Saccharomyces cerevisiae S288C: one gene and its partner. Changing the gene in region 2 together with the main gene of any one other region gives a genetic interaction. Each region holds a gene or a part of one and is shown on either strand. Other genes may lie near its edges.

Evidence for each region.
Region 1: mutations in SRL4 (region 2) and TPA1 together harm fitness more than expected from each alone (negative genetic interaction), as found in Saccharomyces cerevisiae (2 studies listed by BioGRID).

What each region holds. Positions count from the first base shown.
Region 1 is NC_001137.3:249,804-254,430, reverse strand, and holds TPA1 (oxidative DNA demethylase), read right to left. Parts: upstream 2,704-4,627; coding exon 769-2,703; downstream 1-768. Other genes in the region: mitochondrial 37S ribosomal protein bS18m RSM18, read left to right, coding at 44-460; ISD11 (Isd11p), read right to left, coding at 3,429-3,713. UniProt on the Saccharomyces cerevisiae protein: Prolyl 3,4-dihydroxylase that catalyzes 3,4-dihydroxylation of 'Pro-64' of small ribosomal subunit uS12 (RPS23A and RPS23B), thereby regulating protein translation termination efficiency.
Region 2 is NC_001148.4:486,580-489,958, forward strand, and holds SRL4 (Srl4p), read right to left. Parts: upstream 1,629-3,379; coding exon 783-1,628; downstream 1-782. Other genes in the region: YPL034W (uncharacterized protein), read left to right, coding at 133-630; SVL3 (Svl3p), read right to left, coding at 2,308-3,379. UniProt on the Saccharomyces cerevisiae protein: May be involved in the regulation of dNTP production. Induces the SOS system when expressed in E.coli, therefore, it may play a role in DNA metabolism and/or in genome stability.

The DNA of each region.
Region 1 (4,627 bases), on a different chromosome or scaffold from region 2:
GTTCAAGATGAATGCCACCACAGGCATAAAAATTCAAAACGGTATGCAACCTATCATCAAGGGAGCAGTAAGCTCCACATTTAAACGTGCTCTATACAATTTCGGTATCAAAGAAAAGAAGAGTGTCAATATTGAAATGGGGAGAACGCAACAAACAAAGAAAATCGATCAGTCTTTGTCCAAAAAACTTCCCAAAGGTACTATCTACGATCCATTTGACTTCTCTATGGGACGAATCCATTTAGATAGAAAATATCAGGCAAACAAGAACTCAAACAGGAACGATATAATGAAGTCCGGTGCAAATCCACTAGAATTTTATGCAAGACCAAGAATACTTTCAAGATATGTGACCTCCACGGGAAGAATCCAACATAGGGATATCACAGGCTTATCGGCAAAGAATCAAAGAAGACTATCGAAAGCCATTAGACGGTGCCAGGCAATAGGATTAATGTGAACTGTACTACACTAATGCTTCTCCACATGAAATAATTAAGAAAATAAGGCATTTCATAGTTCTGTCTGTAAATATACAATATGTAAAAAGAATCGCAATTAGATCTTAAGTTAAACTTATATTCATTCTTATATTTCTTTAATATACCCGTTTTATTCGCTTACTCGAATTTGGATTATGGTAATGATATTCACGCCAGAGGAATAAGCTGAAATTGACGAATAACTTTTCAAATAATTTTATTACTTCTATTATACAACTTTATAAATATCTAAGCTGCCATTTACTTAATAAGACGGGTTAATTGTTTACGCTTCATCTTCCTGACCATCTTCATCACATGATTTGACATCCCACTTCATTTTGACATCCCATCTACTAGATTTAGCGCTCCAGCTGACGTACTTAACAAACTCCAAAACACTTTCATCTCTCAAGACCAAATTGAAAGTATTCCAAGCAGGTGGATCATTAATCAATACTGAATCACCACTGTCATCCGCACGATAAACAGAAGCGTCTTCAACGTCTTCCTTTAAGTATTGCTTATTATCTTCGTCGTCGTCCATCATGTACAATTCGTAACCACCAAGCTCTCCGGATTCCCAACCGGCAGAAGGTGTCAAGCACAAAGTACCTTCCAAGACAGCATCGATTATATCTGGATTGCTTTTCAAAAGTTCATTAAAGCGACATTTGGTGGCCAATGTGAAATCCATTCCTGGCCTAAACCTTCTAATAAGGATTTGCTCACTGACTGGGCACAAAGAAGTTAGAAGAGCTAGGTATTTCTTGAAAATTGTGCTCTTGTGAAATACAGCTAGGTCAATCAACGCTAATTCTGCATCAAAATTGTTTTCCCTACTATTTCCGGAAGCATCGGAGATAATTTTAATTGCGTCCTTAGTAAACTGAAAGTTTGGCAAATCATTGTTATTCAGCGCCTCAAGAATATCAGCTTCTGTTTGGAAATTACGGTATTCCTTACCGTCGATGTACAAATAACGGGCTTTGTGTGGAGGAATAGCCGTTTTCCACGGAGCTTTCACATCTTTTGAATGATAAGGACATTCCTGTTCCAACTCTTTTTGTTTGATAACCTTCTTTAACAATTCTGATTTATCGTCATTTAAAAACGACTCAATTTGTAGAGAAGAGTTCTCAACAAACTGCTTTTGTAGTTTTTCGATACCTTTCGAGCTTAAATGTTCAGGAGAGATGTATTGAGATAGATAGGTGAACTCGGCTTCAGACAACTTAACCGAATCAGAAATCACACTAGTCATAGATTCTTTAGGTGTGTTATCAGTTTTTGCGCCAGCATCGCCCTTGAGCATTTTTTCAAAGTGCTTCACTTCATGAAATGATAAAATATTTCTCTCGTCCTTTGGAAATTCAAAATCTTCTAGGACATTAGATTCAATCTGCGCCAAAGTGGATGTGTTGTTACGGACCCACGCTTCTTCTTCACCAGGTATGTAACCTTCTTCGCCAACTTGTGGAATATGGTACCATCCTTGAATAGATAATCTGTGCTTATCAACTTTGACTTCTTCGACATCGTGGAAAGAGAAACCCGGTAAAACTTTGAAAAAAGCAATTTGATTGAACTGTGGAACTAGTTTAGCAGATGGATCGGAATGTGGAACGTTTGGTAAAATACTTGGAAAAAGTCTTAGACCACCACCATAATGCGATTTCCATTTTCTGTCGGGATCTGGTAGGTATAAAATGAAACTAATCCTTCTAGAGCCAATAACGTCATCATGAGTCAACAAGTGACATCCCTTTGTGTAAGTGTTGATGCTCATGTCGGTCTTAGAACCAGACAATTTACCAGCTTTGGTGACGTAGCCAAAAAAATCTCGATATTGCTTGGAATACAGAATCTGGCGCAGCTTGAACAAATTAGGCAAACGGGACAAGTCATCCCAGTCCAGACCAGACAAATTGGCCAAGTCACCACTTTGGTTGACTCTATAGATATCGGTTTCTTTTTTAGTGAAATGGATCTCAGTTTCTATTTCTTTACGAACAGCACGTAGAAGATCGTCATTAACCAATTCATGAATAGTACCCCAGTTGTAAGGCTGAGAGTCTTCAATTTCCTTTTTCAAGCCATCCTGGAAAGTCTTGTCCCAGATTTTAGGGTTGAACATACCCTTTATCTTGTCCTCTTCGAGGGAAATTTGTTTGGAATTTCTCTCCTTCTCACCTTTAACTTCAGCAGTTTTTCTCTTCATTATATTCCCGGTATATTTGGTGATCTTAATTAAAAAATGTAAAAATAAAAAGAAAGAGTGCTAAAGAATGACACAAGAAAACAGTTGGCTCTTCGTGTTGTAAACGGAAGAGAACGGCTTCCAAGTGATGACTTGATTAATATATAAGCGAATTTTTTTTTTTTTTCACTTTTACCTAAGAAGTTTATCCGATGGAATGGTCCGAAAAAAGAAGATGCAACTATTACGCACATAAAGTAGGTGTAAGATCGCCCGATACAAACAATAAATAAGCAAATACTCATTTTATTGCATACTTCGGAAACTTTATGCCTGATGTAAAAGAATCCAAGCAATTCATAGGATCTCTCATTGCATCAGCTTGTTATCATACCGTAAAGACATCTCACCTCAGAGTGGGCTTATGTTTTAGTTATAGCGTTTTATATACAAGCTATAAACTCTCCTCTTATAGTCCCATGTGGGTTGAAGAAAAGAAAAGAAAAGAAAAATCTTCTACCAAAAAAGAAATGCTATTGATATTAAGGAAGTAAATTACATGATCTAATTGAAGTCCAACCATGCAAAGTATCGGTCGAAAATTAGGAATATCATCTAATAATATCTTTTCCAAATTAAAGGCGGCCACCTCTCTATAAGATATAACCATACGAATTTCCTGACGTGAGAAGGAAAAAATTACTGGAAAGTTCTTTCTTACATGCAATGACCAGTTAGGCCAGGTTTTAGTGTTTTCTTCCTTGCAATGGTTCTACGACCAGCCTGTCAAATGTGTACATCTGAGAAATAACAGACTGTCTTTTCAAGACACCTAAGTCGTTCTTAGCTTCCTTAAATAGGTTCATTAACACTTTTGGGTCTTGCTGATTCATGTTCTTTCTGAAAGTAGTCCTTGTTTTACTTAAAAAGTATTCCCTGAAGTTGTAATTATTGAATTGATTAGCATTCTTGATGAATTCCTTGTATAAAGACAACACCTGCCTTCTTGTTGGAGCTGTAAATCCAGGCATTTCTCTTCTTTCAAAAGGTGATTCCAAGTTCCCTATACTGCAGATAAAAATGGGAATAAAACTGCTATCCAAACTTCACTTGTTACCTTAGGCTCCGTAAAGTTACTGTGTAATTATATCAATTCCTCAATCATTTTTCTCCGCCGCTTATAAATGAATGAGAATAAATAGACTGCTATTACCCGGAAAGCGGGTGTTTCTCCAATAAATGCATTGTTTAATAATAAGTGGGTAATACAATATTGTTTGGATTTGATGGAAATAGCTATTGCTTTATCTACTTTACTGTGGACATTTGGGAACTAAAAAAACCTCTTTAACCAATATATTCAGCATATATTATGTAAAAATGAATAAAAAAGGTCCTACCCGGATTCGAACCGGGGTTGTCCGGATCAAAACCGAAAGTGATAACCACTACACTATAGGACCAGTACAACTGTAAATTGTTGTATCTCAAAATGAGATACGTCAGTATGACAATACGTCATCCTAAACGTTCATAAAACACAGATGAAACAACCTTATAACAAAACGAACAACATGAGATAAAACCCGGCCTTCCCTAGCTGAACTACCCAAACGTATAAATGCCTGAACAATTAGTTTAGATCCGAGATTCCGCGCTTCCACCACTTAATATGATTCATATTTTATATAATATATAAGATAAGTAACATTCCGTGAATTAATCTGATAAACTGTTTTGACAACTGGTTACTTCCCTAAGACTGTTTATATTAGGATTGTCAAGACACTCCGGTATTACTCGAGCCCGTAATACAACATAAATTTAGCCGTAAAAAAATCAACTAACCCTACAGTAAACTAAACGTAGTACTTTGACACCGATAAACAGGTGAAATATTGAAAAATCGGCAAAAAAATACATAATTATTAGCACTTTACTGTTA
Region 2 (3,379 bases):
CTCTTTGAATCATACATATCTGAAAAGACGGTAGATTTAAAATGGCTATTTATTGATGAGTCAATAGTTCGGACTAATGGTAAAAAGAAGAGACAATGGGTAGACAGAGACTTTATTCTATGTAAGATAGGAATGACCACTCGAAAAACAGTAGATTCAAGACTTTTAGAATGGCAAACCACATGCAAGCATCCAGTGATAAACTTGACTCCAGAGAAAGTCGATAAATTATACCACTTGAAATTGAAAAGTGAAAGCAAAAATATCAGTTCAAACAGGCTATTGCCCATTTCATTATCAAGCTTACAAAAAAAAATGGAGAAACTTTTCATCAAAGATAAAAGTCACTCACACAAGCCTTCCCTTCCAGATCCTAAGGTGCCAACCCTACGCACTTATAAAGATGGTGGATTTTTCATTAGCGGAAAAGGTTCAATGAAACTACCAGATATCGAAAGCGCTATTCATAAATTTTTATGGAAGAAATACGGGAAAGGATTGGTTTACTGTTATGGGTGTGATCCAACTGGAAAAAAGAGGCATACAGAGTGGTTCAATGTGCCTGTATTGGAGCTACCATCAGTACTAAGACTTATTGATTCTTATTGCCTTGGAGGAGAATCTCGTTAGACTTAAAAAAAATTTTTTGGCCTATTCTGGCCGGTTTATTCAAATTATTTATCATCATAAAAATTGTAGTGTTACCTTTCTTTTCCTTGAATTATTTATAGAAATATATGTGCTTAGCAATTTTATCACTGTTACTTCGATTTGTAGTACCCTTAAGTAAAAGAGCTTTTGAAACCAGTTATCAAAAGAATATCACCAATTGATCTTTTGCTTTCGAGAATTGTATCACCATATCTTCCCTCAAGTAGACAGTGGACGAGATGTTTCGAGATACTCGGGGAAAGTCTCTTCCAATGTGCTTCACTTTCAAAACTGGGTAAATATGCAATCAGCGTTTTTACATTCAAATTACTATCTTTCAATTTAAGCTCTGAGGTTATTCCATCGTGGAAAGAGTTTATACCACATTTCGATGTAATAAAATGTGTTCCTGATTTGCACGGTTTTAACGTCAATACCGATGATATGTTGACAATATAGAACCCCTTTGCTTTTTCTTGAGCTTCAGCTTGAACCTTTGGAAAAATGTTACTCAAGCAGAACTTAGTTATCAATATTACACTTTGTAAATTATACCTCACGATTTTCTCGAATTCATTTAAAGACTCTTCATCAAGTCTCAAAAATTTGTCTTCTTTGAGAAGAGTCGATTCGATTCCCTCCTGCATGTTGTTAATGAGCACTGTAGGAATTATTTCTAAATTTTGAAGGTAAAGCATGGATTCCTCAAGACATTTTATGTCACTGAAATCTTTGCAAGAAATAAAAGTATACAGTTTTTCACTTCTCCTTGCGTTTTTTCCATTAATACTGTCTATAGTGTCAATATTTATAACCTTTGTATGATAATCTTCTATAAATGTCTCGCAGAGCTCGATGCCTAACTCATTTGAAGAACCGCCAATAATTAATACTGTATCGTGGCTAGGATGGAACTTTTTACCTAAACCGACATATTGATAAAAACTTACGAGGACTTTGTAAATTGTTTTCTTCATGTCAGATTTTTGGGCTCTATTACTAGTGGACCTGTGCTTCGGACATACGCAGTTTTTCTGTGGTTTCTTTATACGTCACAAATCTGTATTATTATTGAGTCACTAATTCAAATGCGTGTGACAATATAGCGACGGGGCCGTGCAAAAATAAGAGATACTGCACTTGCGCGGCTGATAGAGATTTCTTTCTTTCTACGCTGGGATAGTTTTCTTAGAAGGTTTTAGCTATTCTAATTAAAATGTTGTTCCCACCAGTATTTATTGGCACCTTGGACAATTTTAAAAATCACTGCTAAAACGGTGCTATGACACGATTTTCTGGTACTAAAACGTGTTTTATGAAATTAACAGTATATACAAAAAGTAAAAGGTATGGATAGTTAAATATGTGTAAAGCTATAATACAAAGAAATAACACAAGATAGTTGAGTTTATTTGGTCAAACTAAAAAGAGGAAATAATTATAGTGAATAATTCCAGATTTTGTTAAACACCAATTCAAACAAACTGAAAACAGGGAGAAACCAACCCAAAAAATAAAATAGATTCAGTGATAACCCAATTCTACCGCAAAAAAAAACTAAAAAAATAAATAATAGAAAATTAACAGATACAAAAACGAAAAAACAAACTGTTTACAAAACATTTACATGCGTGTTCATTAAGCTGTCGAAGGATATTATTTCTTTGATTTATTTTTTTTTTTGAATAGGCCAAATCTCTTCTTCTTACCACCATTTTTCTCCTCATTGTCACCATTATCGGTACTAGGCGAAGCCATATTCGCCATTTGACTTGATGAGGACAAGGTTGGAGTGCTTGGGGCTGAAACAGAGGTTGTAGGAGGGGGTGCAATATTTTTGGGATCGTTTATATCCACAGTGCTACTTGTATTGTTGTTTGTATTTGTAAATTGCATTGCGTTATGAACTACCGAGTTGGTGGAAATATCAGGGTTGCTACTACTGTTATTAACTTTGTTGTTATTATTTGTAACTTCTATCATGGTACTGGAGCTAAATTGCCTTTGTGTGGGAACGTGATTGTTTAAACTAGGAGCAGGGACTTGGTTAAAAGTATTGTTTGGGTTGGTGGCATGTGGCATATTCAGTTTGTTTTTCGATTGTTGTGATCTCAATCTATTCTGGTTTACGATGCTATGCGTTGGCATGGAATTTAAGCGAGTTTGACTTGAATTGTTCGGTGGTCTGCCAAAATCACTCATATTTATACTGGAAGGATTACCAATATTAGGCATATTACTATTTCTATTCTTCCTACTTGTGGGCTTGATAGAGTGTGAGTGAAAAGGTTGTACTTGTACCGATTGTTGTGGCTGCTGTAGGGGTAAGGAAGGAGGTTGTTGCGGGTCATATGCAGCGATACTTGAAGAAATTGGGTCTACAAAATTTCCGGCGGATGCAGGTTGAGACATAGCGCCATTGGTGCCATGCATTCCTCTGCTGTTAGAACGAACGTTTGCAGACTGCTGTAATTGAGGGAAGGAAGGCTTTCTTGGAATTGAATTATTGCTATTATTAAATCTTTGTTGCTGTAATGCTCTTTTCTGGAACTCCAGTTCACGTTCTTGTAGCTCTAATTCCTTTTTACGGAGTTGCAATTCGCGTTCTTGTAGTAATTTGTCATTCGTGCCATTATTCTCTCCGAAAGTTTGTGAATGTGAGGATAATGGTGAGTTCATTTGTGGCTGAGAGCTTACAACAGGTGGTGGAGATCTCACTGGAGAGTCT